4 linked regions of the Arabidopsis thaliana genome follow. The protein of the gene in region 1 interacts with the protein of each later gene in a pairwise test. Each region holds a gene or a part of one and is shown in the gene's direction. Other genes may lie near its edges. The genes, in order: IAA20, HB32, RR14 and AT2G02160.

Region 1 (4,313 bases):
AGGATAAAAAAATATTAAAAAAATATCATGCATGCAAATTCTAAATCAAAATTGATTGCAAGAAAAAAAAAATACATATATAGGCACTCCATTCATTTAATCACCAATTACTTTTTGAATAGAAATTCTATGAGTTTTAAATTTTATATACGATATCAACGAAGAAATAATTCGACTTCTTCCAATATCATAAAAGTAACATAAGCAAGTTCAAAATTTAATGCTTCATTAAACCAAAATAAAATAAAAAATGCTTCATGAATATATATATATATATATATATATATTTGAAATTATTTGGTAGGGGAAGTAATGTTTTAAAACTTGTATATTATAACAATGAATACACATGTAATAATGTAAACATACATCCAATCAACAAATGAAAGAAACAATCCGATAATTTCAGTAATGTTAAAGCAAAGGGAGGAAACAAAAGGCTATGATTAGTCCAACAAGAGGGGCTACAGAAAAAGAAAGCCACGAGACATGCAAATGCAATCACGCATCTTAAAAGCAAGCCCAAGTTTTGACTGACAAGCAACCACGACGCAGTAAAGTGGAGTTCTCAAAATTAGCGCATATATAAAGTACTTGAACTATGTGTGTATCTTTCCAATAAAATGCAATTCTATAATGACTGCCAAAATCAGTACTTCATATTATTTTTGAGGAAATATCGTATATGTGTATCTTTTTCTAACAAAAGTTTTTTTATTCAATATAGAAAAAAATGAGTATATTTACAATTTACATATCATAAGATTAAAGTTGCAAAGAAATAAAGAGAAGATGCAAATGAAAATAATGGAAGAAAAGAGGGGACAGAGAGGAGGCGGAGGCAGTAAGAAAATAAGAAAGTGAGGAAATTGTAATTTGTAGTGTTGTTAGGGAACATCTCTCCTTTATCCTTTTTCTCTTGATTTTTTTTTTGTTTCTTCAATATTTCTCTAAAACTCAATTGGTTCCAACTAATTAGTACATTTTTTCCAAACTGAAATATCGAAACCTGAATTAAGCGAGGGAACCAAGCCGGTTTCAACTCTAGTGCGTATATGTCTCTAATTGCTTACATGGTTCAATCCAAACCAAGCTACACTATGCTTGCACGTTGTGTTATTTTGTGAAGGATGAAATTATAATAACGAAGTTTGATGAATTGAAATGAAATTAGTTTCGTCACGAAGCACACATCCATTAAAATTTGATTCTTATATTATATTTTCAATGAAATTATATAATTTTACCATAAGGCACGCATCCATTGTACAATGTACATGTTGTGGTTGAGGGAGTCCACGTGGAAACAAAAATGCCACGTGGGTAATGACAAGAAATATAGTCGTTGGTCGTTGTGTCGTGAGTGTGTGTGTTTCCTTTTTCTCGTGCTTGCAAATATGAGAAATGTGACGTCTCCTTAAGTTCCATAGACAAAGGAACTCTCATTAGGTCCTCTCTTTAAGGTGAACCATTCATTACTCATGCCCCCTCTCTTCCTTCGCTTTTTTTTTTCTTTTCAATTTTCAAATTTTCTCTATTTATTTAGTTATTATTACGTCTAACAACTTCTCTTTCGCAAATATATTACGTATGATTTACATCATTATATAGGCACTTTTTACCGGTTTGGAATAGTCCGTTTTAGACCGATTATGGCAGCGCTGATACAACTTGTTTAGTAGTTGACTAATTTTTTTTTATGTCTAAGCTTCGAATAAACGTAATTGTAAAGAAACAAAAATGAGATTTATCTTCTTTTTACATGAAATAAAATCGGTCTAAGACTTACTTATTGGGGGTTTTGATTATTCAAATCATCTGGTGGAACTAAATCGCATTGTTTTATGGTTAATAATGACTTGGACTTGAATCATCGTAGGCTCAAACATTTGTCATGCTTGCATACATATGATGGGTCCACAACTCCACATCGTAACTTTCGTCATAACTTTTGTTAAACAGAAGTAAAGAACTATACCTAATTAACTTAAGAAAGAAGTGTTAATCCGATTACTAAGCAAGCATTTACCCAAACACTTTCCGAAAATAATTTGTTTGATTAAAGTGTTAATTGTATCGAGGTCATATGAAAACACATTAATTTTGGAAATGTGGGAAGTAATGTAGTTCCACAAACGCCTCAATGCGCGTCACGATAACCTTTCATGCATTGAACACGATTAAGAAGATGTAATTTCTCAATATTAACTTTAATACTACTTCATATCATCAAAACAGCTAAATGTATATATTTATTTTTTGGGGTTAGATATCAAACATTAACTAGCGAGAAACCGAACCCACAAAATCATAACCAACACTTTGATCGAATCATCGTTTGACACGTGTTTTGGTCTGCTACACTAACAACATTTTTAGCGGACGCTGTCTCATCATTCCACCGTCGCTTTTTATTTGTGTGAACTTTGAACAAAAATACGAATTAAGACCATATCAAATTTAAAATAAAATAAAAACAAGTCCTAGTTTTATCTTCTATATAAACACACACGTACAAACCAAGCATGGCGGCTCATTACTCATTTGTCTTAACCTAAAATTATTATAAAAAGGATAGAGAGAGAGAGAGAGAGCTAGAGATATGGGAAGAGGGAGAAGTTCATCGTCTTCTTCAATAGAGAGTAGCAGCAAGAGCAACCCATTCGGTGCTTCGTCAAGTACTCGAAACCTAAGCACGGACCTGAGACTCGGACTCAGCTTCGGGACATCCTCAGGGACTCAATATTTCAACGGTGGCTATGGGTACTCCGTTGCAGCTCCGGCGGTAGAGGATGCGGAATATGTGGCGGCTGTGGAGGAGGAAGAAGAGAATGAGTGTAACAGTGTAGGGAGCTTTTACGTGAAAGTGAACATGGAAGGAGTTCCAATTGGAAGAAAGATCGATCTAATGTCTCTTAATGGCTACCGCGACTTGATCAGAACCCTTGATTTCATGTTCAACGCATCCATTCTCTGTAAGTTTCTATGTATACATAATGTCATATCAGAATGATTTATATGTCTTAGAGGTAGCAAATTTCTAACGATATTTTTTTCTTTCTTATAAGTCCGTTTTGATTTTTTTTTTTTTTTTACGGAATGAAAAAATACTTCCGCTCATTACTATTCTTTTGTTTGAAGGTTAATATCGCCGTAATAATCGCCCATCACTATTTCATAGGTTGTTTGTTTGTTTGTCAAAAAAAAAATCTGGATAACGTTATATGTCAGAGTTATTATTCCGTAGGTAGAGTTTATATATTGCGCAGTGTGTAAGTACTGTGTAATGGGTAAATTGTAAAAATGATGAAAACTGATGGGAATTGAAAAAATGGAAATATATAGGGGCTGAAGAAGAAGACATGTGCAATGAGAAGAGTCACGTGCTAACGTACGCAGATAAGGAAGGTGACTGGATGATGGTTGGAGATGTTCCTTGGGAGTAAGCACTCTTTTCATCCTTTTTTGTATAATTAGATTGTTAATTATGCAGAAAATTAACTATATGATCATCCTTATATATATTTTTAATTTGTGGGTTGATTTTTTGCAGGATGTTCTTGTCTACTGTGAGAAGACTGAAGATTTCAAGAGCTAATTACCACTACTGATATATAAGTCTACGTACTTGTTGTGTTTAAATCGAAGTAATGCCAAGAAAAAAGTTTTTGCCTGATGTAAATCAATGGTCGGATATTTATAATATTATTTTCATTTTTCTTTTGTGATAGATAGTACATAAATCTTGAACTCACTCTGATTATTCTCGGTAGTACACAAAAAAATAGTAAAAAAAGGAAAAAACAATTATCCGATCGACAATCATGTTTCAGTGCATTAAACCAGTCAGACCATTGGTCATTGGATATTTGAATTTATATAATTAGTTGAATGCTTTTATAAATAAAATTATAGGATGTACTTTCTTTTGTTTGTCAAATAGGATGTAGTCCAGTTTCAGAAAATACTAGTAGTCAAGAAAACCAAGCGACAAATTAATGTCGAGAGACAACTTCTAAATTTTCGAAGAATTTTTGGATTTGATTATCGATTTGACCACAATGTACATTTGATATATACAAGGAAGGAGGCAGGGGAAACAACAAATTCCCACCTGATATTTCCTACTTTGTGTTTTGGAAATAAATGGGCCTTCTCCTTTGATTAAGCCCAAGTTCGATCCCATCTATAAATAATGCAACTTAAAACTCACAAAAGTATTCGGCTTACGCAAAATATAGGGTTTCTGTTTATTCCAATCATAGCTTCCGGATCAAGCAAAACAGAGACCGAGACGGAGCAAATCGCTTCTA
Region 2 (4,007 bases), on another chromosome or scaffold:
ACTGACTTGTAACAGATATTCTTTTAATTAAATGTTTTTATTTTTCAGATTACCTTTATTTGTACTTATATATAGTTGAAAAACATACTAGAATTGATGTCTGAATAATCATTAACTAAAGGAAGTATAGCTTTGTCCCAAGCGCGAAATTAATTTGAATGTGTACCATATGAACAATAACAACAATCGAAATTAATACAGAATATAATCATAGTTAAAAGCTAATTAAGTCTGGAATATCAACGACAACAACTCTCGGAGGAGAGGCAGGAGCTTCCTCATTATGATCAAGTGTTATCAAATCAGAAAGCTTCGTCTCTATCTCTTCCTCTTCTTCTTCTTCTTCCTCAGCAATCTCTGTTCTCTCCGCACTTTCCTCAGACGACTCCATCGCCGTCCTTACGAGTTCATCGAGATGAATCACATCCGCTTCAGGAATCCTTACGAAATTAGGAATCTCTTGAGCATTAGAAACTCCCAAGTCTTTACAAAACTCAAAATACTTTTTTAGCTCTCCTCCTTGCTTCATGGATTTAGCAACAATCTTCAACGCCAAGTCTGCCTCTGTTTTACCTATCTTGGAGTGCACGTTAGGTAAAACTTCAGCAATACGACGACAAATCCAACCGTAAATCTCCATAATCTCACTAACCACATTCTCCATAGCTTCATTAATCACAGGTATCATCATGTTTTCACCAATCGGTTTGATTCTAATCAAAGAATCAACAATAATCTGCATCTTACGAATAATCACAAGTCGAATCAGAACCGATGATTCTTCGTTGTATCGATGACGATTCCCATCGTGAAACAGAATCGATCTTCGATCAAGAAACGCGAAATAAGCACGTACGAAGAGATTAAACCCACCGGATTTGCTCATAATCCGTGAATTACCTTCGCCGAAACTCGAAAGATCGAAAGGTAACCGTCCGATCGATTCTGCTACGGTTGATTTACAGAGGAAGAAGCCGTGCATTAGCATTAAGCCTTTTAAAGCAACCGCCCAGCTTCGCGTGCGTTTCACGCGAGACGAGATTAAGCTTACGAGAGGCTTGAGGCTTGACGGGCTAGAGAGAACGTGACGGTAGATGAATTGAGCGCTCTCTGTATCAATGGAGAGCTCGTCGTGGCTTGTAGCTTTCACAACGGCTGCTGTGAGAATGTCATCAGCCGCGATGAGACTAGGTCCGTCTTTGAGAACTACGGCGGCGCGTTTCCAAAGCTTCATCTTCCGACTAATGTGTGTGGTTTCAAATTGTTAGTTTCTATTTCGCGCTTTATAATTTTCATTTTAAACCGTGTTTTGTTTTCTTTGATGTCAATTCTTTGCTGGTTTAAAACGAATTAGATAAGGATAAGCTAAAATTAAGAAATCTCAGTTTTGACCAAAATAAAAAAAGATATTTTTGATGTCGTTACTAAATTATTATCTTCCATTTTTCAGTTTAACTCGATTGATTACGTAATAAGTTCATTAGATAAGTGTTGTTTGGTTGGCTTTTCTATATGTTTCGTTGATTTTGTTTTGAGGCAATTTTCTAGTGTAGTAGTGTTGTAATCGTATATAATGTATGTGGTTTGAGCAAGTCAAATTATGACTTTGTTTGTACAATATGGAAATATACATATCTTAATTATTAATGGTGTGATTGATATCGTTAAGCCGTAAAATAATCGTTTAGCTTGCTAAATTACACACAAAACATAAAGTAGGCAAATGAACATATACGATAGTGAATAGTCAACTCGTGGGTCACACAATTGCTTTTTTGCTAAACCTCTTAAAAGAAAGCGTTTCAGACTTCTTTTTGCAATAAAATCAGATTCTTTGAAAACTTTTGATCTTTGCTTCTTAATTATAGTTTCATTTTAGTTACAATATATTATTGATATTTCTCAATTTTACAAAATTAGTTTCTTAAATCTTACTTTTATAAATCAAAATACTTCTACTTATTTAGAAACATGTGACCTCTATACAATCCAAACTTATTAAATTTGTTTATACCTATATTAAAAACTTATTACTAATATATTAGTACTAGTTTACTAGTACTAATTAGCCGCTATAGTTTTACAAAAAGTGGTTTAGTTTTCTTATTCCTCATTATTGCTACTACACTTAACCCAATGGATTGAAAGAGTTAACTATGGGTAGAGATGACAACTTTATGAGCTGAGAGGATACGAAATTATGGATGTGTAGAAAAGCAAAGCCAGTGAAACAGTTCAAAAAGTGGGTTTTTCACATTTATTATGACAACTAATAAACACGTAAGTACAAAATCTTAAAGCAAGTAAGTAACAATAATTTTTGCTCTTTTTGTAACTCCCAACTCTTTCTGACACAAAAAAACACCATATCATAACTTAAGTAACCCAAAACCAAACTCTTCCAAAACAAACCCTAAACGCAAAAATCATTACTCAAAAAAAAACAAAGTCTCTCTCTTCTAATTAGAGAGCCAAGAAGATGCAGAGTACTTGTGTCTACAGAGAATGCATGCGCAACCACGCCGCGAAGCTCGGCTCTTACGCCATCGATGGCTGCCGTGAATACTCTCAACCATCCACCGGCGATCTCTGCGTCGCCTGTGGTTGCCACCGCAGCTACCACCGTCGTATAGACGTCATATCTTCTCCTCAAATCAATCACACGCGCTTCCCGTTCACGAGCTTAAGGCGCGTGAAGCAGCTGGCGAGGCTGAAATGGAAAACGGCTGAGGAAAGAAATGAGGAGGAGGAGGATGACACGGAGGAGACTTCGACGGAAGAGAAGATGACGGTGCAGAGGCGGAGGAAGTCAAAGTTCACGGCGGAGCAGAGAGAGGCGATGAAAGATTACGCGGCGAAGTTGGGATGGACGTTGAAGGATAAGAGAGCGCTTAGAGAAGAGATAAGAGTCTTCTGTGAAGGGATTGGTGTTACTCGTTATCATTTTAAAACTTGGGTTAACAATAATAAAAAGTTTTATCACTAACTAATTAACTAATATCCTTAATTGAGATAATACTATAATTTAGTTCCAATTTCATTTTCATCCCTTCTGTGTTAATTTCTCCTCCTTGATCGCTTATTTTAATGGATTATTATTTTATCATTAGTGGGTTTAATGTGTTTGATTTGGACATGTCCTTAATTACTAACTGGTTCACTCTTTAATTGGTCTTTATGATTCTTCTTTTTACGTCGGTGGGATTTGAGTTTTGACAAGACAACTAGCTGACGTTTTATTTATGGTCAATACTGTTCGCCAATCAGAATATTTATACGTAATAATATTGAAGTAGTTGAATAGTAGTACTAATTATTATGGGAAAGGATGGCAAAATGACATTTTGTTTTGATAGAAAATTGTAAAGATTACATATCTAATTCTAAAATTTGTAAATAATTAATGGTAAGATATATTTCACGTAATGAAAAGACAATTAGTTACGGAAATAACACAACATTGTGTTTTTTCGAGGTTTGTTACTAAAAATTATAATGACATCATCAAAGCCAATAAAAGCTGTTATGCTTTTTTTTGTAGAAATAGTCATTTCAAAAATAATTTTTATACTTTTTGCTTTTTTATAAAGTCGTAAAACCATATACTTAAAAGTATATACCAATAAAATTGTGAACTAATTGATTCATAAAATTGTAACTTTGCTACCATTATACCAAGCATCCCATTCCCACGAAAGTTTCAACTTTAATTGGGCTTTTGTTGGCATTTCAAGGCCAATAAGAACACCTTTGAGAAAACTAAAAAACATAGCTCTAGTCTACAATTATTCTAGTGTTTACCTACTGATTTAGAAAATGATTAGGATTTAGGACCAGGTTAACTAAAACCAGAGACAGTCTTGCCCGGCTCGATCTGAACCAAGCTTGCCCGTAATCTCAATCCAACGTACAAAAAACAAATAAACAAAACTGTATAAAAAAGTTTCACCATACAAATTGTAGACATGATTACTTGATTAGATTCAAATACTCGTTAAGATTTGCCT
Region 3 (4,465 bases), about 19 Mb from region 1:
TTTGACGGAGGCAGTAGATCTTTAGATAGGAGTAAAGTACTAACAAACGAACCCAGATCGAAGTTTCCATTGAACCAATCTTCTGAAGGAACAAGCGGAGGCGGGTCACCTAATTCAACAAAACAAGGAGATTCAGAGAAAGCAGCAGGGACAAATAATGATAGTGTCCCAGGAGTATTACATGATTTGCTTCAAAAGGAGGTGATAACTTTAAGGAAAGCTGCTAATGATAAAGATCAAAGCCTTAGAGATAAAGACGAAGCTATTGAGGTTAGTCATTAGTTTTACACCTTTCCAAGAAACGTTTGCTTATATTTATTTATATTCTCTGATCAAAATACTTGGGCTTGTGTTTGCTTTTAGATGTTGGCCAAGAAGGTTGAAACACTAACAAAGGCGATGGAAGTGGAAGCAAAGAAGATGCGAAGAGAAGTAGCAGCAATGGAGAAAGAGGTTTCAGCTATGCGTGTGGATAACAAAGGATCAGATAGTAGAACGAGACGTCACTCTACTAACTCAAAAGGAGCTTCAACAACTGCACAGTTACTTTCTGGAAGGTACCTGATGTTTTCTTATTATAATGACCCAATGTAACGATTATAAGTTGGTTAGGTTAGTTTTCTTTAACACTTGAACGTTTGCTTTGCATTGTTGTTTTAGCAGAGGCTCAGGACGAATGGGGATGACGAGGAGCACGCAGTGATCAAAGAAGTCGATTCCACGAGCAAAATATGAATCTCAATTCAGTGGTTAATAGATTGAAGGAATGACAAAAAGCATACAAATATAGAAATCCAATATGGGAGGTTTGTGTGCTTCTTAACATAGTAAGATTTCAAAGTTAAAAACTGATTTTTAATTTCTTGGCTGATGTTTATTGTTTTCCTCATATATAGAAAAGAGTTAGGTTTGTGTTTTAACTACTAACTTGAGCTTAGTGTGTGATTTATTGTATCTCTCTCTATCTTACCTTTGTCCATTTTTCTCATTTTGGGGTATGTTATAGATTTAAGAAATTAGTTCAGAAACAGAGGTGAGAGTTATTAGTGAAAAAATTGAAATTGTCATTAGTTTCATTGATCCAGACACAACATTCACTAACATTAGTTGAGTCTGGTCTCCTTGAAGGCTTGAAAAGAGATGTCCCTTTGAATATAATGAATCTGTGAAGGATCAAAAGGACCTCTCACTCTATCAATCTTTGTAATGACTGCTCTCTCCGGCAACACACTCCTCGCCGGATCCACCGCCGTTTCTCCGCTCAAGCACGACGACACTCCTTTAAAGATTACAACTTCCACTTCTTCATCGTCGACAATGGCCGTCACTATAAGCGCTTCTTCTCTACACGACTGGCTATATATCTCCAACATCGCCATTTCCTCGTTGTATCCATACATTTCATCTTCATCTTCACCACCTCCCTCGTCTCTCACCCTTCTCCGAGCACCGCACCAGAACATCTTCAAAGCTCTTCTTCTCTCCGCCACTGGAGGGACGGTGAAAAGTTTTTTCCGGTAGTTATACGAGTTTGTGAGCGAGGGTATTTTAGTCATTTGATCTTTCTGTCCGAAAACGAATAATCCGGCTATGCCACCGGATAAATTCGCCGGCGTGATAAGCATTCTGATATTGTAGTGCATGAGGACCGTGACTTTGTCTATAGATAAGATTTTAAAGGACTCGTGTATGTTTACAAATAAGGGTAGTACCAATTGGATTAATTACAACAGAGTGCCACTACAGCTATTACCAGTCGCTTTCGTTGCCTCTCTCTTCAAACCAGTGGCTACTTACTCAACACTGTACGTCTTCAATCATTTCTTCTTCTTTCTTCTCCAACCAAAATCTCTTTCTCAGTTCTCTAGGGTTTTCAATACTCACACCAAAGCTTAATGCCGATCAACGATCAGTTTCCTAGTGGGTTAAGAATACTCGTTGTAGACGATGATACTTCATGCTTGTTCATTCTCGAGAAAATGCTTCTCCGTCTCATGTACCAAGGTCTAATTCTTTATCAAAGTTCCCACCTTTTAATAGATTTTCTCAAGAAAGTTTTAACATTTTTGTTTTATCTTCTCTTTGTAGTTACAATTTGCTCACAAGCTGATGTTGCGTTAACCATTCTAAGAGAAAGAAAAGACAGTTTTGATTTGGTGCTAAGTGATGTTCATATGCCTGGTATGAATGGTTACAATCTTCTTCAACAAGTTGGTCTTCTTGAAATGGATCTTCCTGTCATTAGTAAGACTCTGTTGTTATGTTTTGTCTCTAAAGATTGAATCTTTGCATCAATGTTTCTTACATTTGCTCTGTTTCTAGTGATGTCTGTTGATGGAAGAACAACTACAGTCATGACTGGAATCAACCATGGAGCTTGTGATTATCTAATCAAACCTATTCGTCCTGAAGAGCTTAAGAACATTTGGCAACATGTTGTTAGAAGGAAATGTGTGATGAAGAAAGAGCTTCGAAGTTCTCAAGCTTTAGAGGATAACAAGAACAGTGGTAGCCTCGAGACTGTTGTTGTTTCGGTTAGTGAATGCTCAGAGGAAAGTTTGATGAAATGTAGGAATAAGAAGAAGAAGAAGAAGAGAAGTGTTGATAGAGATGATAATGAAGATGATCTTCTTCTTGATCCTGGAAACTCGAAGAAGTCACGCGTTGTTTGGTCTATTGAATTGCATCAACAATTCGTTAATGCCGTAAACAAACTTGGAATTGACAGTATGATCCTAAACACTATCTTATTGCTTGTAGAAGAAATTCAAAGTAATTTGTGCTTATAAGAATCTCTCTTATTGTTTCAGAAGCTGTACCAAAGCGGATTCTCGAGTTGATGAATGTTCCTGGTTTAAGCAGAGAAAACGTGGCTAGTCATTTACAGGTTTCTTTGATTGATTGATTGAATCTTTCTTCTTATTAGGGTCTCTATAAGGGTTATGACTGAATCAATACCATTTGCAGAAGTTCCGATTGTATTTGAAGAGATTAAGCGGTGAAGCTTCGCAGAGTAATGACTCTGAGTCTACCAAAAGATATGAAAACATTCAAGCTCTGGTTTCCTCAGGACAATTACATCCACAGACATTAGCTGCATTGTTTGGTCAACCAATAGACAATCATCACTCTGCTAGTTTTGGAGTTTGGATTCCTAATGACAATCTTGGTAGATCTCAAAATGAACACTTCTCGGTTGATGTATCATCCGCTTCTAACCGTCCTGTTTCTGTGGCGGTTCATGGTCTATCTTCCTCAGCAAATTTCAGACAGAGAGGTGACGTTAACAACAACAGAATCAGACAAGGGTATGGATCAAATGTCAATGAAGAATCTTGGATCTTGGAAAGATCTTCAAGACAAAGATAGTGACCAATATGGATACGCTTAAGAAGAGAAGGCTCTGCAACTGTTTCTTTTAAATCTTCAGGAATGGATTAATGTCAGAAGAAAACTTGTGTGTCTGCAATGTTAGCTTAGGAAAGTAATTATGTAACCAATATTTTGAATTGTTATCTCTCACTTTATTATGGTTGCCAAAAGTTTTAGCCTGATAATAACCACAAGACATGCAACAAACAAGTCTCAAAGTACACAAAACATCAAACGCAACACTAGTTTTGTTACTGCTAATGTTGCACAACTTTAGCCAAACAAAAAGCAGCAGCTGAAGCAATCGCTCCTATAAAGGCGGTTTCAAACGCACTTCTGAGGGGCTTGCTTCCAGTGAAATGCCCTTTTGCATAGCCAAATATGAAGAGCGCAAACAGAGTTATAACCACAGACGCCACTACCGCATCCATGGCATGCGGTATGAGCATGTAGGGAAGTAACGGTATAAAACCGCCAAGAACATAAGCGATTGCAATCGTGAACGCGCTTTGTAACGCTCTTTTTGGATCAGGCTTCTCTAATCCCAGCTCAAACCTGTAACGAAACAATAAAGTCTCACTTATATAACAAGTTACATGCTTATAGTAGGAATATAAACATTTTGTGATAGGTAAAGAGTGTTAAACTTAACCAAATCAATAAGATAAGTTTTTATATTCACGTAATTTGTTGTTTTCTGTTTGTTACTATTCACGTACTTTATTTGTTGCAACAAAAAAGATTAAAATTGGAAGTCGGACCATATAAGAATCTTGCCCACACCTGGAAAGTATAAGCTCAGCTTTTGCAGAAATCTAAAAGTATCCCTCGATTTTCTCTTTAATTAAGACTATATAATATACATAAAATAATACTAATGGACTATATAGTATACATAAAATAACACTAATTTTCATTAGTGAGACTAACCTCATCATAAAATCAAGCCAAGCTTGAGGATTCTTACGAAGAGCATTAACTACAGGTGAATATTCATGTGGCTCTATCCCGTACTGTGCCAGAATCTCTGCCACTTCAGCTGCCTCTGTTTTAAATCCATATCGTAATTAAAATGTGTTAAACCGGATAATTT
Region 4 (6,012 bases), about 19 Mb from region 1:
AGAAGAAGAATCAACTCCTACAATGAGATCTGGGTCTAATCAAATTGATGACCCTAGGGTTTATGGTGGAGCCCCTTAATCATTTCTTAATACTCTTTTTAATAACGCCTTTTGTCTCTATTTGAATCTAAAGTTTGCATCTTTTTTTCTTTGCTTTTGTTGTTTTCAAATGTTGTAGTTGCTAGTGGATTAGATGATTGCAAAGATGTTGATGTTGTGAGTGAGATTACTGATTGTTCTACTTCAGGGATAGCTAGATCGATTAGTTTGGGTCTTCAAGAGTATTCTGATTATGATAATGTGAATGAGATCAAGAGTGTTTCTGCATCATCTGTCTTTGAGTTTCAAAAGACTGAGAAGGAAAAAGTTAATCAAAGAATGCCTATTAGATCATTCTCTAAACCAGCTCCATCTAAATGGGATGATGCTCAGAAATGGATTGCTAGTCCTACGGCTAACCGACCGAAGACTGGACAGGTTCAGGTTCCGGGTTCGAAGAAAGGGCCTAGCTTTGGTCGTCAGTCTTCTATGAAGATTGTTGAAGTTGCTGAACATAGAGTGGTTGAAGAGCCTGATACAAAGAGAATAGATGTAAGCCAAGTGAAAAAGGATATGGGAAACAAGTTTGGTAGCTGGGAAGTTGATTCGTACACTACCGTGGATTCATATGTCAAACCGGTTCTTATGGTTGAGAACTCTATTGTAGAATCAGCAACTGAAGGTGGTGTTAGCTAGCTCTTTGAGTTATTCAGTTTGTATGCTCTATTTATCTTCTAAAGCCAATTTTACTTGCTTTCTTGCAGTTAATCTCAGCCGTCATGACTCGTCAGTCGCAACTGCGTTTGCTCAACCGCCTTCAACGGCAAGGTCTGTGTCAATGAGAGACATGGGAACTGAAATGACTCCTATAGCGAGCCAAGAACCTTCTAGAAACGGGACACCGATTAGGGCAACAACGCCAATACGAAGTCCTATATCTTCTGAACCTTCAAGTCCAGGCAGACAAGCATCAGCTTCTCCTATGAGTAACAAGGAACTGTCAGAGAAAGAGCTTCAAATGAAAACTAGGAGAGAGATAATGGTGTTGGGTACTCAACTTGGTAAATTTAACATTGCTGCTTGGGCTAGCAAGGAGGATGAAGATAAAGACGCATCCACATCATTAAAGACCAAAGCTTCTCTACAAACTTCTAAAAGTGTTTCTGAAGCTCGTGCTACAGCGTGGGAGGAAGCGGAAAAAGCTAAGCACATGGCTAGGTAGTCCAAAGTTGAATTGTTTGTCATAGTCCTCTAGTTATTCTCGAAACTTTAAGCTTATGATGAGTTCTGTAATCTCCAGGTTCAGACGCGAAGAGATGAAGATTCAAGCATGGGAGAATCATCAGAAGGCGAAATCTGAAGCCGAGATGAAGAAAACCGAGGTAAACTACACTAACATAGCTACGTAAGTTCAAGTCATGATTGTGAACAAACTTGGAAAAACATGAATGATGATGGTGGAGTTCTTGATATTGTAGGTTAAAGTTGAGAGGATTAAGGGACGAGCACAAGACCGGTTGATGAAGAAACTCGCTACAATCGAGCGCAAAGCAGAGGAAAAGCGAGCAGCGGCTGAAGCAAAGAAGGATCATCAGGCAGCTAAAACAGAGAAACAAGCTGAACAAATCCGAAGAACAGGCAAAGTACCTTCATTGTTGTTCTCTTGCTTTAGCTTTTGTTCTTAAATCCAATCCTATTGTGAATGTGATGTTGTTAATTCTCAAGAACACATCTTTCTATCATCATTTGTATAATAAAAGCTTTGAAAAACTTATTTCTTGTGATCTTTTAGTTGCTTTGTACATCTTCAAATTTTGGTTTTGAGAGATCTTCGAATTACTCGGTTCAAGATGTCCTTACCAAAGTGAAAACCAAAGTTTTGATTTTGGTTTGGATTTAATTTTGGTTAGATTTCCTTACCAATGTTTGATTGTAAAAGATCTACCAATCGGTTTACAATTTTGGTTCAAGTTCGGTTTAAATCACCTTATCATTGTCTATTTCACAACATTCCAAAGTCGCTGGTTCCATCAGAAGTTATAATATCAAGGCAAACAATATGGCTAACAAATAAACCAATAATAAATCCCCACGTGTCAGTATTTGATTGATTACAAATAAACCGAACTTGATCTATTGATATTTCCCATCACATAAGAAAAAAAAAGAGCCAAAAAAAAAAACTTTTAGGCTTAGCTTTAAAGGGCACACACACACAGTCGCGAGTTTCTCTCTGGTGCGCTCTTTGTGGCGGCTCGTCTTCTTCTTCTTCTTCCACGGGACTCTCTCTGAATCGGTGATTTTCGATCTTCCTAGGGTTTCGATCTGAAACCTTGCGATCTACTTGAAAGAGAGATTCAGAAATTTCCAAGTAATAATAATGTTTGCGCCTGCGACTCAACCGCAACAGCAACATGAGCAGAAGAAGCAATCAGAGACTGTTTCATCTGCTGAAGAAGATGCTTTGAAGTGGAACACCGATTGCGTTTACTTTCTCGCTTCTCCTTTAACCTGCAAGAAGGTAATTGATTTTTGATTATTGTTTCGCTTAGATCTTATCCAGTTTCTGCTTCAATTAGGGTTTTGGATTTGAGATCTCAAGTTTCTTTCACCCGATTTCAAGTTTCTCTGTGTTTTTGTGTCCCTCGAAGCTATCTATACATACTTCACTTCTCCATCTGCTTAATTTTGGTGCGAGATTTAGATCTGGTGATTTCGAACCTCGTGATTCTAAGTATTGTTGTTTCTTAGGGCTTCTTGTTAGCTAGATTGAAAATTACATATACAAAGCTTTATAAGGATGTTCTGATAAAGGAGATTTTCATGTTCTGTGAATATGATTTTTGCTCGATGTGTATGTTTATGCTGAAGAACGATTCTTATGGTTTCTTCCTTTTTTGCTTACAGGGACCTGAATGCGAGTATCGCCACAGTGAGTATGCGCGTATGAACCCGAGGGATTGCTATTATTGGTTGAATGGAAACTGTTTGAATCCCAAATGTGGATTTCGGCATCCTGTGAGTTTACTTTCTTCCTCAATAGATAGTCTCTGCTTGAGCTTCTTGAGTTGTATTATCAAAGTGTGCTTATGTTTGTGGTTTTGTTTTCTTACAGCCTTTGGAGGGATTGTTGGGAAATCAAGGAGGTGCTCCTGCTGTTTCTGTACAGCCAATACATGCAACCGCGCAGCATCCTAGTGTTGCAAAACAGCCTGTTCCATGTCTGTTCTTTCAAAAAGGCATGTGTATGAAAGGAGATATGTGTTCGTTCTTGCACACGCCGAATCCTGCTGCGTATAAAAAACAGCATCCTGTAGAAGCTAAGCCTGCTACTGATCCTCAGTGTTCTAAAAAGCCAATTGAAAATAACACTGAGGAGAAGAAACTTCCTGATGTTAATCTCTCAAAGGTGGTTAAAGGACATACTGACATATCGGCTGCACCAAGAGTCGCTTCTACTGGACTAAGGGATAGTAGAAGTGTAGAGGGATACATTCCAAACCATGTGGGATATGAGCCTGTTGTGCAGAGAAAGGGTCCAGGATTCCCTTCTTTTACTGAAGGAGGCCATTCTACTCAGTTGCTTCAGAAATATGGATCTGATGATAATAACAGTTTCCACAATGGTAAGGATGCAGATGACGTTTTAAGAGAGTCGTCTCCTGGGTTTGATGTTCTTGTGGATAATGAGGCTGGAGATTCTGAGTATTATCATGTTGAAGATCGATATGGACGTAGAAGTCAGGAGAGAGGGAACTCAGAGTATGACCCTGATTTCAGTGCAATTGCTGATGGTGATAAAGAAGCATTACGTGAACAACGTTTTGATTCATATGATCGGAGGGAAGACAGGGGATGGGGCCATCGTCGAGTTTCTTCTGAGAGAGAGGATCGTTTGGACAGAAGGGTTTACGCAGAAGATGAGAGATCAGAGAACATACTGGAATCGGATCTGAGATATCGTTTGGCTAAGCAGAGAAAAGGCAATGGTATGAGATTATCAGTAGGAGGCCATGACTATGCTGCTCCTGACTCTTCGATGGACAGAGGATATAGAGAGTCTCGTAGGGATACACCGAGGGAAAACTCCATTAGCAGTAGTCGTCTTCAGGGTAGAATTAAGCTTCGTGAGAGAAGCAATGGCGAAGAGGGTCACCACTTTGACAGGAGAAGTGAGAGGGGAAGGGACAGAAGCGAGTTACCTTCTCAGGGTAGACTCCGAGATAGAATTAAGGGTAGGTTAGAGGAAAACCATAGTGGTAATCAGGAAAGAGGTTTCGGGGCTCCATGGGCGAGAAGAAGAGAAATGGAAGACGAAAGAAAATCAGCTCCTAAAAGCAGCAGAGAGGAAAGTAAGCCAGAGCCATCTCTTGGGAAGAGGAAAAGCTTTGAAGAGGATCATCATAGTCATAAGCGATCAAGGGATTCATTTGCAGCTCCATTGCCTTTCAGTGAGATTCTCAAGAGAAAAAAAGCGGCCGCATCTGGTGGTAGCAGAAACAACAACAAGGACGAGACGATATCGAAAGAGGAAGCTGGAGATGAGATCAAACTCATAACCGAAGAGAAAACCGAGGTTGTCTCTGAACCCAAAGCTGAAGTAGAAGAAGAAGGAACGGTTATGGAGGAAGAAGAAATTGTTGGGGAGGAAGTGTATGAAGGAAATGAAGACGAGCAAGCTTATGAAGGCGATGAGCTAAACGGAGAGTACTATTACGAAGAAGGATATGAAGAAGAGGGAGGAGAATACGCTTACGAAGAAGGTGAAGAAGTAGTTTACGCGGCTGAGGAAGGAGAAGAAGAAGCAACAGAAGGAGGTGAAGGTGAGGGTGAAGAAGACATTGAGAAGAAGACCGTTGAGATGTTGTCATAAAAGAAGAAAGAGTAACACAGAAAAAAGCTTTTGCTCCTTTCCTCTCTCTCTCTCTCTCTGCTTAATGCAAATGGAGAGAAGAAGTCGTAGAGCAAATAATACGAGTCGCTTTTATCTTTGGCTTGGCACTGAGTTTTAGTCGCCATTTTTTCTTACTGTGATTTCTTAAATTGTAACACTAGAGAAGAAAGAAAAGAAACAATGGTACAAGTACACCATATCATATTTCTGAGTTTTACTGTTTTCTAATCTGTTTTGATATATTACTTTTTCCTCAAATTAAAAAGTATTTACAGTAAATAACTTATTTTAGCTTTTAACACCTTTTATCATTATTGTTTTTGCACTTGCATACCATGAATGATGTAATACCACTTTAGCATTATTGTTTTTGCCCTTTCCATAACATGAGTAATTATGTAACTGATTTCCACCAATCAACTTTAAAGTATTTACGAATTTAGTCGACCAATCTAATTAACCCTGAGTTAAAAAATGTTATGAGAAAAAGAAGACTGGGCCCAGAATTATAACTTTTGGGCCTATGTAGCCCGTTTCCAAAGGCCCATAAATCATTATTTTACAAACAAGAACAACAACAGGTAAAGAAATAGACTTGGTGGAAAAAAGCAACAAAACCCAGAGTTCTTCATAAACCCTACTTTCTTCTTCTTCTTCTCCTTCCTTCCTCTTCAGTAGAATAGTTGAATACCATAGAATACAATGTCTCTGAGTTAAACCATGAGGCTCATTCTATTCACTTTTAACTTTTTTCCTGAAAATGTTCTGTTCTCTTCGCAATTTTCTTCACGTTAATCGCAGATTCCCTCGCCATGTAAGCCCTTCTTCTTCTTCCCTCTCTCAAATCCAATCACCTCTCTGTTTCCCTCTCTCTTCTCCTTCTCCTTCTCAATCTTCCTTTATCTCTTGCCCTTTCGTTTGGTTCACTAGTTTTCTCTGTATCATTCGATACCCTTTCGTTACCAAAAGCGGTACTTCTACTTATTCCGAAGATTTTGATAGAGATTGGATCCGTAAAGTTGTTCACAATGATCTATGGGATGATCCTGGACTCGAAAAGCTTTTTGATTTGACATTAG

The links.
Region 2: the proteins of IAA20 (region 1) and HB32 interact in binary tests that used the Arabidopsis thaliana proteins (3 or more experiments, as listed by UniProt).
Region 3: the proteins of IAA20 (region 1) and RR14 interact in binary tests that used the Arabidopsis thaliana proteins (3 or more experiments, as listed by UniProt).
Region 4: the proteins of IAA20 (region 1) and AT2G02160 interact in binary tests that used the Arabidopsis thaliana proteins (3 or more experiments, as listed by UniProt).

Annotation. Positions count from the first base shown.
Region 1 is NC_003071.7:19,305,259-19,309,571, forward strand, and holds IAA20 (indole-3-acetic acid inducible 20), read left to right. Parts: upstream 1-2,455; 5' UTR 2,456-2,602; coding exon 2,603-2,975; intron 2,976-3,345; coding exon 3,346-3,442; coding exon of another isoform or gene 3,443-3,446; exon of another isoform or gene 3,447-3,553; coding exon 3,554-3,611; 3' UTR 3,612-3,813; downstream 3,814-4,313. Other genes in the region: AT2G46995 (uncharacterized protein), read right to left, coding at 4,210-4,313.
Region 2 is NC_003070.9:5,045,567-5,049,573, forward strand, and holds HB32 (homeobox protein 32), read left to right. Parts: upstream 1-2,215; 5' UTR 2,216-2,479; coding exon 2,480-2,986; 3' UTR 2,987-3,187; downstream 3,188-4,007. Other genes in the region: AT1G14686 (ENTH/ANTH/VHS superfamily protein), read right to left, coding at 215-1,234. UniProt on the Arabidopsis thaliana protein: Putative transcription factor.
Region 3 is NC_003071.7:331,146-335,610, forward strand, and holds RR14 (response regulator 14), read left to right. Parts: upstream 1-1,756; 5' UTR 1,757-1,895; coding exon 1,896-2,244; intron 2,245-2,322; coding exon 2,323-2,727; intron 2,728-2,810; coding exon 2,811-2,887; intron 2,888-2,967; coding exon 2,968-3,369; 3' UTR 3,370-3,551; downstream 3,552-4,465. Other genes in the region: MAP70-3 (microtubule-associated proteins 70-3), read left to right, coding at 1-270, 364-557, 661-703; AT2G01755 (uncharacterized protein), read right to left, coding at 1,104-1,643; VIT1 (vacuolar iron transporter 1), read right to left, coding at 3,630-3,927, 4,303-4,417. UniProt on the Arabidopsis thaliana protein: Transcriptional activator that binds specifically to the DNA sequence 5'-[AG]GATT-3'. Functions as a response regulator involved in His-to-Asp phosphorelay signal transduction system.
Region 4 is NC_003071.7:552,307-558,318, reverse strand, and holds AT2G02160 (CCCH-type zinc finger family protein), read left to right. Parts: upstream 1-2,187; 5' UTR 2,188-2,419; coding exon 2,420-2,560; intron 2,561-2,946; coding exon 2,947-3,057; intron 3,058-3,154; coding exon 3,155-4,912; 3' UTR 4,913-5,233; downstream 5,234-6,012. Other genes in the region: AT2G02170 (Remorin family protein), read left to right, coding at 1-65, 179-721, 804-1,257, 1,340-1,421, 1,518-1,724; EMB2794 (Tetratricopeptide repeat (TPR)-like superfamily protein), read left to right, coding at 5,694-6,012.